Linked DNA regions of Tamandua tetradactyla. The protein of the gene in region 2 interacts with the protein of the main gene of each other region in a biochemical or structural test. Links are inferred from orthologs where the notes say so. Each region holds a gene or a part of one and is shown on either strand. Other genes may lie near its edges.

Region 1 (7,670 bases), on a different chromosome or scaffold from region 2:
GCCTACTGTTCCACACAGATTTAAACCTCTTCTCTACCACTGAATGGTCTTGACTAAGATACCAAATCTCTCTGCACTTCAGTTAATCCTGCATTATGGACATACCAAATTTCACAAAACAACTTTACATGTGTATATTATATTTAAAGCAGCTACCAGACACACAAGAGGCAGAGGGGAGAGAATAATTATTGGATAACTCCAACAATATCTGGTTAATTTATAAATTGGTCCCCAAAGCAGCTGAAAATGCATTTACTTGAAAACCATGTTTTATTCACTTAAAGTGGTAGGAAGAATCAGAGAACAAGTACATTGAGTCCCTGCTTTAACATAATATATGCATTATACATGTATATTAAATTGCATATAATAAACATAGATCCTATCTCCCTTTCAATTTTAATTTATTTATAATATGCTATATAGGTTGGGAAGCCAGATGATGAGGTTAGGGTAGGATAAAATAACAGGTCATAGATGTAAGGGTCCAAGTATTGGGGATAAAATAGTTGAATTCCAGTGAAAAGAGTTTACGAACACTATTTTGGCTGGTCATTGTCTTTTTAAGTTACAAACTGAAACGAATGGGTAAAACAACATCCAGATAAGTAGGATTTTACTCTAATTTTGTTTTCCCTGGGCCACAAAGCAAGAAAATGTTCTAGAACACCAGTTTTAAACTAACATTTATTATATACAGAGAAAAGTAATTTGTACTAAAGATAATAAACTACAAAATTTTGTGAACTATACTATCCAATGATATCTTGCATACCATATTCTCTCCCCTAGGCTTGTGTCACGAAGTTTACCCTGAGTATGTGACTTTTTGAATGTATGTACGCATCCTTATGTTTATATTTAAATGTGAAGGATGGGGCAGTTGGGGCATTTATTTATATTATTATTTGATGTATGTATTTGGCTAAAGACTGTCATGTGGCAATGTATTAGACTACCATGTTCTGTAGATTTTTTTTTTAATTCAGTGATGTTGGGGGTAGAGAGAAATTTAGCATTTGAGTCTCTTGAATGCAGACCCTTAAATGTCATATACATACTCAGTTTAATACCAAAATTGCCATCTGTTAACCATCAACAAACAATTTAAGTAAATAAGACTGTAGAAATAAAAAGTAAGTAAGACTGTTGAAGTAAAAAGCTAATCAAATTAATAGATCTTAAAAGAGCAAGAGGGCGTGAAAATATTTACTTTATTCTTGCTGTAAATTTAACTCAAGAAATAACATACAAAATTTTAGTTTAGCTATTAAAGTATATACCCAATCAGTTAAGGGAGCCAGGGGGAGAGGGCCTCTCCTTGGACCTCATATGTTGCATTAAAAAACCGCCATCAGGAAAGTATTTTTGAGCATCCCCTGAGTACACATGACTCGGTCATTACTTTTTAAAAATTAGTAGATTCAAATAGGTTTATAATAAGATTGTGTTTATGGTAAACTTAAAGCTGTCTTTTCACTGTACCTCTTCAAATTTATGGCTACAGTAGATGAGGTAGGGAAAAAAAGTGACACTAAATCTGCAAAATTACCAGCAAAGAAGAAGTAATAACAACCAGAGAAAGCAGTAATGTGAATTAAATAGAAACTAGAAAAAAACTGCTAAAACTCTGAAGATATTACATTTCAAAGGCTTAAAATTATAGGGAAAAAAAAGTATTCAATCAACTTTAGAGAAACCCAGCAGTTTCAACCATTTAAGCTAATAGCCATATTTCCAAAATGCATACTTCAGAAAAGTGTTTTTATTAAGAAAGGCCTTATTTGCCTTAACTTTTAAATTAGCTAATACTTGGGTCACACATGTGAAGAAGCAGCTTGTATTTCATTTCCAGGCAAGACTTTTTTTTTTTTGAGGGGGGAAGTCAGCTAGATTAAAAAAAAAAAAAAAGGAATAAAAAACCATTTCCCTAAACAGTTAAACTGCATTCCTTTTAACTAGTAAATAGCATACTTGTGCAGCTGTATGCTAGAACTCTTCCAATTCCACTGAATCGTTATGTCTTCAAATAATACGTAAATCTGTCTTTAAAGTTTGCCACTAAATTAGAGTTCATTCTCTAAAAGGCTTTTGCACCATTACACCTATTATGAGATGAGAAAGGTCTCTTTGCTCTTCACTTGACATTTTTACAGATATGTATGTGCAATTCCTGCTGTCAAATATTGCAAAAGTAGACTTCTTGTGGTTCAGTTTGAAAATGTCTCGCCTATCCTGTACAGCTTCCCTCTTTCCAGCACAAACCTACCCACCTCTTTTCCCCCTGCAAGTTTTAAACTTTGTTTCCCTTGATGTTCTGTACGAGCGCTACTAACCTTATTCAAGAGACAAAGAGCTGTGCCTTGGGTTAACCGGATGGCCAATTTTAAGTTCTGAAACAAAGCGCTAAAATTTGAGATGCAAAATAATAATGATGACAATAACGCATAAAACCTCAGAGCCATCTCCCTAGACAGCTCCCCCTACACATGGACACACGCGGGGGATTTCTGACCGTGGGACAATGACTCGCGAGTCCAGCTGCGAAGCCTCCCGTGACCCTTTGGGGGCCGCCCGGGCGGGACCCCAGCTCGGCTCAGAAGGGGCTCCCGCGGCCGCGCCCGCCCGGCTCACTCACCGCTTCACTCGGATGATCTGGTCCCGCATGGGCTTGATGTCCTGGAAGCTCTGCTGGTTGACGAGGCTGTAGACGAGGATGAAGCCCTGGCCGTTCTTGATGTACAGGTCCCGCATGGACGCGAACTGCTCGGTGCCCGCCGTGTCCAGGATCTCCAGCACCGACGGCGACGAGTCCACCTCGATCTCCTTGCGGTAGAAGTCCTCGATGGTGGGGTCGTATTTCTCGATGAAGGTGCCGGTCACGAACTGCACGGTCAGGGCGGATTTGCCTACCCCGCCCGAGCCCAGCACCACCACTTTGTACTCGCGCATCGTCTCTCTGCTGCCGCTGCTATTGCTGCCACCGCCGCCGCCGCCCGCGACATAGACCTACGCCCGCCGCGCTGCACCCCCGGACCCTGCCCCGGCGGCTGGCCCCGCCGCCTCCCACGGCCGCCCCCACCTCACGGCCGCGGCGGTTCCCCGGGCGGCGGCGGCGGCGGCGGCGGCGGCGGCGGCAGCTGAGGGAGCGGCGGCCCTGGGCATGGGCCAAGCCGGACGGCAACGCGACCCCGCGGGCGCCGGGAGGAACAGAGGGCGAGCTGAGAGCAGGAGCCACGGGAGCTGCCGAACCGCGGGCCCGCAGTGCCGCCCGCCCCGCCCCTCGCGCCTCCACGCCCAGCTCCCCGCCCGCCGCCGCCGCCGCCGCCTCCCCAGGCGCTAGAGCGCGCGCCCGAGCCCCAGCCGCAGCGCCTACCGGGGGCGGGGCCCGGCAGTCCAGGGCGGGGCGGGGCCGGGCCGCAAATCCCCGCCTCCTCCCCTCAGTCGTCTAGGCGACCAGCCTCGCGCCTCCGGGGAGGCTCTGGGCTGCGTGGAAGCTTCTGCCCGCGGCTAAGCAAACCACCACCCAGGCCACTCAGCAACACCCTACCACGGCACCCCATCGAACACCAAGGCCTGTGTACTGAGCATGCCCAGTCCGTCTGCCTGAGACAGAAAAAGCGTCAACCAGAGAATCCCACTCTCAAATTACTGGGGAGACAAGATATTGGAAGAGCCATACCATCTTCGAGGCTTTACCTTGAGGCAGGAAAGTGACAGGACGAGATGGGCAAGAGTCTGAGGAGCCCTTTGGTTGAGGGGCTTTGCCTGACATCACTCTGTCACTGTCTTTGACTTTATATTGTATAAGCATAACGAGATGGCGCTTTGTTTTACGTGACAGGAACCTCCAGCCTTCTGCCTGAGGTTGTATAAACATAACGAATAGAAGCCTTGTTTTAAGCGTAAGTACACTGAGGTATAGGTGACAAGTATCTTCAATCCACTCCCCGATGGGCTAATCAGCCGCCGCTAGGCACCACCGAAGCCGGGTCCACGCCCGGTGACGTCGTCGCGTGCTCCACCCACCTTCCCTCTAGTCCCGCCCTTTCATGGTGCGGGACTGAAGTCGAGCTCTTCCCACGCCCTGTCAGCTACCGGCGTCTGAAAAACCTGGAGAGCGGAACCCCGTGCAATAGCCAGGAGGACCAGGGATACGTCTTAGCAACAGCCAGCTGGAACATCTAGGAGGCTGGATTCATTCCAGCCAACCAGACCACGTCTCTAGGACCCATGGTACCGCTCACAGCCAATAGAGAGCTGCCTGATACCATGTGATGGACCTTCTTCAGCCAATGGGGGAAAAACATTCGTCTCGGCGTCAGCCAACCCACCCCTCGAAGTCTCGCCGGGCTGGGCGTTTGCTCCTGCGCACTGTCTGCCAACCAATAGTAGTGAACTGCTGAGTGACCTGGGCTTGGATTGCGCCAACCAGAACAAGCGACACATTAACCACCGAGGGCCGGTAGTATGGAGACAAGGCTTGGGGCTGGTGTGGTTTGGGAGTGGTCAAAGATCCAGGGGCTGGGCGCCGTGCCTCATTCTGGCAAAGGAATGAGGTTTGTTGCAGGCGAGAGGGGTGAATTCCGCTTTTAACATAGCCTCGGTGGCAGTCTGCTTAAATGCTGGGCATGGAAATGGTTCTCAGGGATGTGGGATGGGTCGGGAAAACAGACTTTTGTCTTTAGGGTGAGAAATTTTCGGGTTATTAAGAAGGCATAACGAAGCAGTTACATTGGTGCTCTATACGTACCTTTTAGAACATCTGTGTAATACTTCCTGTCTCTAGCATTAAAGCTTATTTACACTCCCTGCCCTAGCCATGACTTCAAATTTAGAAGGAGTTAAATCCCCAAACATTCTTGGATTATTTTTGTATAACTTGCTATTGGGTTTCCCTTCCTTAAATTATGTCTTTCTCGAACTAATCTACACTTACGCATTACTGTCTCTCACATCTCTTGAGAATAATGAATTCTATAATTCTAATGTTTGATCTGGCAGATCTCTCCACCGATTTCTCTCCCCTACAAGGTCATCATATAAATATTTTGGTCCGAGCGTCTCTAAAAATCAGACGTTCTCTTACCACATTTTGTCAATTAATAAACTACCAGAAAGATGTATCTTGATTTCGCAGCCTCCTACTGCCCTACTACTCTATTGTTTGGAATGGATAATTTGTATTTTTGCATTATCTTGCTATAGAATCACACACCAAGTTTTTGTTTAAAACAATTAAGGGCAGGTGTGCTTTCGAATAAGTAATGTACAATAAAGCGTAACTCAGTCATTATTTCTTGATTACATGGCATCAAGATATGAGTTTATATCTGAGCCATCACAATCAGCAAAAATAGGGTCAAAAAGCATCGAAGTTTCTTTGTATAGATAATTACAACCCATGTAAAACTTTGTATTACGGTGGAACCGAAAATCCATTCACTGTGCAAGAAAAAGAGGTTCGGTGGCTTGAGAAATTTGCATTGGGATTGTGGGTTCAGAATGTAACCACAGCAAACAAACATATTCATTACTCCTAGGTTTCCAGAGAGTTGGATATTTCTGGATTGGAGCTCATCAGATAGAAGTTGTCACAAAAGTTAGTGACTAGGTTCCCTATTTTTCCACTTCGCACAACAGAGAGTAGGAGAGCTTTTTTTTTTTTTTTTTTTTTTGGCATTTCCCTGGTTATTTCTCCTGATCATTCATCAGTGCTGATTTTCTTGAAAAGGAGATGTGTAACGGTTGTGGTTTTTGGATAGTCACAGTTTATTTGTTTCTCAAATAGACTAACCTCAATTTCACTCTCAGTGTCATGGAGGTAGATTTTTAACCACTGAGAGATGAAAGAAAATGACAGATATATTTTCAGCATATTTTCTCACCTGTTCTGCTGTGGATAATGATACTGATTTGTGACTGTATGTGCAATGTTGGTTGAAGGGTTAGCTGCTGAAAGGGTGTTTAGAGAATTTTGCTGATATGGGTGGGAGATGAGTGTCTATCTCCTGTTCTCTTAATTATGTTCATTGTTATGCCAATATAATCTATTCTGAGGGTGATTTTAGAAATAAAAACATTTTCATTCATTGTTTGTGAGAAAGATAGCATATAATTGAGAGAAGACAAAATTGAAATTTCCCTAAGAGTTGTAAATCTATGTAATAGTGAAAACTTAACACTGTACACTGATACTGCAGGGTCTCTTCAGTTTCTGAAGTGAATTGCCAAGGGGCAAAACAAAAACAAACAAACAAAAAAACAACTTCATTTCTCCTCTCCCACTGAGTGTGAAAGAGCACTCACCTCTGCCCAAATACCAGCAATTGTCACATTTGTGTTACCATGGAAACCCAGCTCCTTTCTTTCCTTCTGTGAAATATGTTAGAAAAGGTGGAATTATGTGGGAAATACACTGTGTTCTGGGACTTCCTGATGCTGGCAAGGAGCAAATATGGAAATAATTTAGTATAAACAAGTTGTACAGTATGTGTGTAATGTGACCATTACTTCCTGGCTAATAAAACCTTGATTCCTATCACTTTTATTGAAGTGTGCATGTCTCTGACTATCCATAAAGGGGAAGGACAAGTCAAGTACATTTAACGCCTGTGAAATGCTGCTGGAAATTGTAAAGAGAGCAGAAGATATTTTCTTAATACTGTTGAGAAATATAACAGTGGAAAGAAAGGAGCAGGGTAAACTTGTTCCGCTTTTGAAAATGTGGTAAGTTTCAGTGATTTTGAAGACAAAAATAATTACAACACAAATTGAGCATACAAGCCAGTCAGTGAAAGAAACCACTTAAATGTTTTAAAAGAATAATTTTAAGAAGAAAAAATTTCCGAGAGAGAAGGATAGATGATTAAAACATAGGGAAAAGACAGACTTCTTAAGAACTTGAGGGTTCTGAGAAAACAAGAGATTTAATGTGGAGCATTTAATGTGGCAGAAGTGTGGCTGCAATGTTGCTTGCATATCCTGCTGTTTCCTTTTCATCTTGCCAAAAGACCCAGAAATGAGTTGGGATTGGTCTTCAATACCAGTACTCTCCCCTCTGCCCATGCTTAGTTCAGAAGGAGGCACATGACTCAGTTCTTGACATTGGCATATGAACAGCGTTGGGGCTGAAGCAATTTCTGGGGATTCTAACAAGAGTGAGGAGACATCCCTGTTTTTTGTTACCACTTCTGCTTTGCACACTGAACTATGAGAATGTGGTCACTATCTTTGGGCCATGATACACCATTTCTGAGGTTGAAAGGCATCGAGTTTCTGATGGCTAGAAAGAAAGATGTTGACATAAGTTCTTGATGACAACGTTGAGCTGCCAAACCAATACTGGGATTCCTACTTTTGGACATATAGCAGTGAACATCCTTTGATTTAACCCCACATAAAGTTTTCTGCAATTTGCAGTCAAACACAAATTTGACTCATACCTCATACCTCAACTGTAATAAGGTATGAGGGGTTTAAGACAAAATAGTATCTAAAAAACAAAAAGTGACAAGCATTTGTGAGTACTTTCATTCTACTTATATCCTGAATGGTATATTAAAGCCATCATAATAATTATTGAGCATTTACTATTATATTATTCTCGGCTATGTGGATAAAACAATGAACAATTAGCCAAAAGAGCCTACATTTTAGCAGGAAAG
Region 2 (7,519 bases):
AAATAGCATTATATTTGAGAATTTATACAGTAATTATAAACCTAATGTTTATGTTATTTGGTTTCATGAAACCTATCTCCTTTATGATTTTACAAACTTCAGTAAATTATTCCTTATCATCTTTTTTTTTTTATATAGAAGGAAGAGTCCTAATCTTTTTACCTTGCCTTCACATGACTACAGCTTTCCTTTTTGGATTAAGATGGAGGTCTGGTAACCCAAATAATGGATTACTTGCGATGGATCAACAATGCAAATCTAATTTCCAGTTAATAAGCAAAACATCTCTGTTAATAGAAAATAACAAGCATCATATATTTGGTTGGATAAACGTTTTCTCTTTGATAAGCTTCACTATAAGCATTAGTTTCATGACTCCTAACTAGATTTTAAGCTTCCAGTGTTCAAGAACCATAACTAAACATTTCTTCCAATCCTCCTGAACTCATGCTGGACACAAAGTAAGCACTAAACTATACCAGGCACGCTGTCTGCCTGACGCTTCCTTTCAGGTTGTGTGTGTGTGTGTGTGTGTGTGTATGTGTGGGAGAGAAAGTGAGAGACATTGATCCTAGCAAAAAGCACTGCAGCTTGACAAGAAGGAAAGGAAAGTTTGCAGAGAAGGATTCAGCAAAGGAAAGGTAATGTAAGAGAATATATATGCAACTCCTAACACTCCAGTCTGAATTTAAATCCTAGAGAGGCTGAACAGTTTGTACTGCTGGCCGAGGTCTAGGATTACACAGAATCAGTAATACCGATTACAGATACTGCTGTGGAACCTGGGGTAAAATATGGCCTCTTAGCCCATAAAATGCCAAAAGAGGGGCATCAACTCTAAGCTCAAGTAGGGAAGAACCTGAGAGTGGTGGCAGCCCTCATGTGAGAAACCCACACAAGTCCTGTGGGAATTCCATATCGAGTGAGACAGATACAGGCATTCCTCAGAGATATTGTGAGTTCGATTCCGGCCTACTGCAATAAAGCGAGTCGCAAATGTTTGGTTTTCCAGTGCATGTAAGAGTTACATTTATACATATGGTAGTTTATTAAGTCTGCAATAGCATTATGTCTTTAAAAATGTACATAAATTAATTAAAATATGACAGAGACACAAAGTGAGCACATGAAGTTGAAAAATGATATCGATAGATTTGCTCAACATGAAGTTGCCACAAACCTTCAATTTATAAAAATGCAGTATCTGCTAAGCACAATAAAGCAAAGTGGAATAGAACAAGGTATGCCAGTAATGCCTTATGATTAGATGGAGACTCACAACTCTTCTGAATGATTCTGGTTATTGATTATCTACAACAAAAACAATGCAATTGCTCACATGGTATATACAGGCCCTGGATAACTCTATCCACTGACTAGAATTCTTAAGGCCAAAGATCACGAAACCGGAGAAACACAGCATCTCCACCCAGAATATAGGAGTCTCCTAAAGCTTCAGTGGCTGGATGTGCAGACATATCTCTTAGGTGACACAGAAATAGTAACTTTTGTATTGGTGGGCAGAATTTTCTTAAAGACACATCATTCTAAAACGTTCCATCACCAGCATTACCAACATCAATATTACACCAACACCGAACACCAGTCCTATAGTTAATAATCAACCCTCAGGATCTAAGTTGACTGAAAAAATGGGAAAGCGAGCCTACACTTTCTTAACAGCAAAGGTCAGTTATATTGCAAAAGTGTTCCAAATTACAAAAAGTTATTTCTGTTTAAAATTATACCTATATTCTTTTCCCTACACTTCCTAATAGAACTTGCTAGGTAAAGGATATGTTCTTAATTTAGTTGTGAATGCTTCAGGAGAGACAGGATGACATGTGCAATGGCATAGGTCATTCAATGTTACAGAATCAAGTCTATTACTCTACCAGCCGCTACAGTTTCTGTAATATCTCAGTATCTGCACACTTCAGTTTCTTGCTAGGACTAACAACAACACACATGACCCAGTTCTAATGATCTTTTGCTCCCTTTTGCTAGTAAAGTGAGTTTCTTGAGAAAAGCAGCTATATTCCAATGCACAGCAAAGCATCTAACAATGCATACACTAAATGACATACTTTAGTAAACACAAAAAATACGGTGTCGGAAAGCCATAAATGCAGGAACCCAAGAATGTTAAATAACACTTCATATTTATATCATGATGGTTAATTTTCTGAATGCTTTCATAGTCATCTAATTTTATCTTTACATTAAACTTATCAGAAAGGCAGGGCAAATATTGTTAACCTCATTTTTAAAACAAAAGAAAATATTTTCAGAGGGATTAAATGACTCGTCCAGGGTTACAAGGTAATATACCACAGCAGAGGCAGGACTTCAATAAAACTTCTGAGACCTTGGTGTGGAGATTTATAATATCCTGATGAATGCATCTTTTGGTGTTGTTTTTAGTAAACAAATTTATTTTTATGTATCATACTTATCAATCTAGAAACATCCAATTGCCAATATTAGAGGCAAAACTTTTTCCTTCCAACTCATCATGACATCCCATATAGTACTGTGCACAGAGTAAATGCTTAAGGAATGTTAATGCACCAATCAATGTATGATAAACATCAATTTCAGCCATGAAAGAGTCATACCATATTAAAATTACTGTAAGAAAGGACTAAACAGCTAACCAGAGTGGAAAGGAAAAAGACGAGTTTTCCCTCTTTGAGGACAACAGATAAACAGTTGACCAACAATACACCCAAAAATCAGGGAGAAATTTATATCAGTATCAGTAATAACAGGAGAAATAAGATACTAATACCATGACTCAGCAATTCAACTCCAAAATATGGACCTTAGAGATGCCTTTGTACATGTCCATAAGGAAACACAGCAAGAACATTTACTGATTGATAATAGCAAAAAACTGGAAACAACCCAAATATCTACTAAGGAGGATAAATACACAAATTACGGTATTTTGTAGATACGGTATTATGGTCTTATCACACACATATACCCAAAAAGAAATTAAAGTTTCATTCTTTTTTTTTACATGGGCAGGCACCAGGAATCGAACCCGGGTCTCCAGCATGGCAGGCAAGATTTCTGCCTGCTGAGCCACTGTGGCCCACAGTTTCATTCATTTTTAAGCTAACAAGGACAATGGATTTTGTAGATCATAGAATACTATACATCAGTCAAAATGTGTCATCATGGATCAATCTAAAAAATATACATTAAACAAAAAAGCAAGTCACAAAAGAATGCATTCAGAATGATACGATTTTTATAGATACAAAAACAAGCAAAAAGAAACCAATTTTTAAAATGGATATATGATAAAAAATATCTTAAATTATAAACATAAAATTAGGGATAGTGGTTACTTATGGGAGAAGAAACGAGATACCACTGGGAAGGGACAAAGAAGGGTTTCAAAGTATTTGGTAATGTTCTAGTTGCGAAGCTGAATAATGAGTATACAGTTGTTTATCAAATTCTTTAAAATAAAAATTTGTCTTTCATATACTTTTTTGTTTATATTATACATTTTATGATTAAAAGAACACTAGAATTAAAAACAGAAAACATAAAGTTTGGTACCTGATCATATTTGGTAACCTAATCATCAGTATCTGCCACTCAACCTTAGAAAATCAGATTGTACACAGTGATGAACAGTCCTTTTTGGCAGCACCTTTGCTTATGATGATGCTAATTAATAGATTCATTTATGATATCTTCAGCTACTAGCACAGTTATGGTTTCTGGAGGGAAAAAATATGCTATGCATTTTAACACTAGACACAGATGCTCTCAAAATCCATTGTCCTTGTTAGCTTAAAAATGAATGAAACTGTGGGCCACAGTGGCGCAGCAGGCAGAAATCTTGCCTGCCATGCTGGAGACCCGGGTTCAATTCCTGGTGCCTGCCCATGTAAAAAAAAAGAATGAAACTTTAATTTCTTTTTGGGTATATGTGTGTGATAAGACCATAAGCCTTGAACAAATAACAGTGTTCTTATACCTATATGTTTAAATTTTACAGATTTAAAATATAAATGTAAGATGCTAAGAAGAGAATTAGAAATAGGATCTCTAAGAGAGAAAATAAGGAAAAGGATAGGACTTCAAGATAGTCTTTAGGAAATCAGGAACCATAAAATCATTTTATAAAAATCAGGTTTTATTTTGCTTTTTTCCAATGTAAGACTGGAAATCCTTTAGAGGAATTCATTTGCTTATTCCTTTCTGAGTGGAAACGGGATAGTTCTCCTTTGTAGAAGGGTGGAAATAAGAGGAAGGAGATGGGATGTAGTAAGCTGGATAGAGGTGAGCCCAGGAAAAGACACTGCAGTGAGGAGGCACAACCCAGGATACTCTGGAGAAGGCTCCCTGAGCCTTGGGCTATTGACCCAGGTACATAAATGAGCACGAGGAAAGGCAAGACAGAAACCAGTTTTCCTTATTATCTCTTGGGAGGATGGTGGAAAGGTAGAGAGGAGCACTAGAAAAAAGGAAAACCAAAATTGTATCCATCATCGCCCAAAGCACAGATTCCCATCACACTTTCCCTTGCTGCTCTACTGAAATATGCCCTTGTTTCATACTTCACACTAGCACAGTATCACTTACCAAGCGATTTTCATCAAACACTTCGAAAAGAAGCCGGTGTTGCTGAGGATGGACCTAAGTAACAAAAACACAAGATTTCTTTAAGAACAAGTGAACAGCTTCAGTTTTTGGTGTATTGGTGGAGCTACAGAGAAATGCCTAAAATTGCTAAACTGGAATCCAGTAACTTTGATTCTTGAAGGTTGTTGTGTAACTATATAACTTTCACAGTGTGACCAGGTGACTAATAAAACTTTGTGACTGAGACTCCTTTTATCTAGTGTATGGACAGATGAGTAAGAAAATAAAGACAATAAATAAATAAATAATAGGGGATATGGGATGTGTTACTTTTATTTGCATTATTATTTTTATTGTATATGGAGCAATGAAAATGTTCAAAAGTCTCTTGTGATGAATGCACAAATATATGCTGATACTGTAAACCACTGATTGTATACTTTGGATGATTATATGGTGTGTGAATATATCTCAACTAAATTGCATTAAAAAAAAACTAGTGAATATCAGTCCACAAATCCTGAGAAATCAGTGCTTGAAGTTTTGCCACCACCTAATGTGTTACTTACAATATATTTTATATTACATAAATTACTTAATAGTAGAACAGAGAATCATGTGTCAGCCATTTTCTAATAATTTTATAACAACAAGATGAATTTTGTTATTTATTTTTTAGTATTTTCTAAAATAGAAAGTAAGAACTTTAAATGATTATTTAAATGTTTGCAAGCACTTAAGTGTGGACTAGGTTTTAACTTATTATCAATTTTATTTAGTGACTTTAAATTTATTAGGTTAGAACCACCCAAAGTAGATGTTGGTTTTTATGGAAACTAGTGCTCTGAATCCTTTTAGTACCGACTTGACAAAACCATTTGTTGCTTCTACTACCTAAAGTACATAAACAATCAAAAAAGTATATACTGAGTTTTCACTTATTGTTTATACTTGATAGCCCCAGAGTAAACATTCACAGCAGTATTTTATATTTTAATGCTGATGCTTTCAGTCTTGCTGAAATCTTTCAAGGTCAAATGAAAAAAATCTGCTTAAGACTTCCTGGAAGATGGCGGCTTAGTAAGACGCGCGGATCTTAGTTTCTTCTCCAGGACACCTACTAGGGGAGTAGAAACGATACAGAAAGCGCCCAAAGCCACAACAGAGATAAAAAAGACAGCGTACCCCATCCTGGAACGGCTGGCTGGCTGAGAGAAGCAGCTTGGGTGAGATCGCCGAGGCGCGCGGGCCTTACCGGGCGGGGTGGCAAGCGGCCGGAGTTACTCCCTTCCCCCTTCCCGGGCCGGCTGGGAGAATTGGAGAGGTGGTCCCCTGAAACCAAGGCGACTGGCGCCCACACCACGCGCAGTCCCCGGACCAACTGAGAGAATTGGATCGGAAACCCCCAGGCCGCGGAGAACGGTGACCCCGTGACTCCCGGGGAACGTGCACTCTCTCGGGCGGGCCGCTCCCGCTGGCGCCCTCCCGCCACGCTTGTTGCCCAGGGCCGACTAGGAAATTTGGACGGGCTCTTTCCCTGGCTGCAGCGACCAGCAACCCTCCCTGCGTTCGGACCCCGGGCCGGCTCAAGCCGCTTCGGCTAGCGAACCCCCAGGACGGCGATAGTTTTCCAAAGTTTAAGGTCCCACAGCACCTTTTACTGGTGGGACCCGCAGACAAACGTGTGCCACGAGCGCCACCTACTGGGCAGGATAAGAAAAACAGAACCCAGAGATTTCACAGAAAAATATTACAACCTTGCTGGGTCCAACACCAAGAGAAATCTGAATAAATGCCCAGACGCCAGCAGCAGAAGATAACTGTCCACGCTCAAAAGATTGAGAATATGGCTCAGTCAAAGGAACAAACCAATAGCTCAAATGAGACACAAGAGCTGAGACAACTAATGCTGAATATACGAACAGAAATGGAAAACCTCTTCAAAAATGAAATCGATAAATTGAGGGAGGACATGAAGAGGACATGGGCTGAACATAAAGAAGAAATAGAAAAACTGAAAAAACAAATCGCAGAACTTATGGAAGTGAAGGATAAAGTAGCAAACATAGAAAAAATAATGGATAGCTACAATGATAGATTTAAAGAGACAGAAGATAGAATTAGTGATTTGGAGGATGGAACATCTGAATTCCAAAAAGAAACAGAAACTATAGGGAAAAGAATAGAAAAATTTGAACAGGGTATCAGGGAACTCAAGGACAATATGAACCGCACAAATATACGTGTTGTGGGTGTCCCAGAAGGAGAAGAGAAGGGAAAAGGAGGAGAAAAACTAATGGAAGAAATTATCACTGAAAATTTCCCAACTCTTATGAAAGACCTAAAATTACAGATCCAAGAAGTGCAGCGCACCCCAAAGAGATTAGACCCAAATAGGCGTTCTCCAAGACACTTACTAGTTAGAATGTCAGAGGTCAAAGAGAAAGAGAAGATCTTGAAAGCAGCAAGAGAAAAACAATCCATTACATACAAGGGAAACCCAATAAGACTTTGTGTAGATTTCTCAGCAGAAACCATGGAAGCTAGAAGACAGTGGGATGATATATTTAAAATACTAAAAGAGAAAAACTGCCAACCAAGACTCCTATATCCAGCAAAATTATCCTTCAAAAATGAGGGAGAAATTAAAACATTCTCAGACAAAAAGTCACTGAGAGAATTTGTGACCAAGAGACCAGCTCTGCAAGAAATACTAAAGGGAGCACTAGAGTCAGAACCGAAAAGACAGAAGAGAGAGGTATGGAGAAGAGTGTAGAAAGAAGGAAAATCAGATATGATATATATAATACAAAAGGCAAAATGTTAGAGGAAAATATTATCCAAACAGTAATAACACTAAATGTCAATGGACTGAATTCCCCAATCAAAAGACATAGATTGGCAGAATGGA

The links.
Region 1: the proteins of NEDD4 (region 2) and RAP2A form a complex in vitro, tested with the Homo sapiens proteins (2 studies listed by BioGRID). The link is inferred for Tamandua tetradactyla from reciprocal best matches to the Homo sapiens genes NEDD4 and RAP2A.

Annotation. Positions count from the first base shown.
Region 1 is NC_135330.1:166,206,622-166,214,291, reverse strand, and holds the start of RAP2A (ras-related protein Rap-2a), read right to left. Parts: upstream 3,016-7,670; 5' UTR 2,956-3,015; coding exon 2,642-2,955; intron 2,410-2,641; coding exon of another isoform or gene 2,214-2,409; exon of another isoform or gene 1,992-2,213; intron 1-1,991. UniProt on the Homo sapiens protein: Small GTP-binding protein which cycles between a GDP-bound inactive and a GTP-bound active form. In its active form interacts with and regulates several effectors including MAP4K4, MINK1 and TNIK.
Region 2 is NC_135340.1:71,135,260-71,142,778, forward strand, and holds the start of NEDD4 (E3 ubiquitin-protein ligase NEDD4), read right to left. Parts: upstream 3,005-7,519; 5' UTR 1-3,004. UniProt on the Homo sapiens protein: E3 ubiquitin-protein ligase which accepts ubiquitin from an E2 ubiquitin-conjugating enzyme in the form of a thioester and then directly transfers the ubiquitin to targeted substrates. Specifically ubiquitinates 'Lys-63' in target proteins.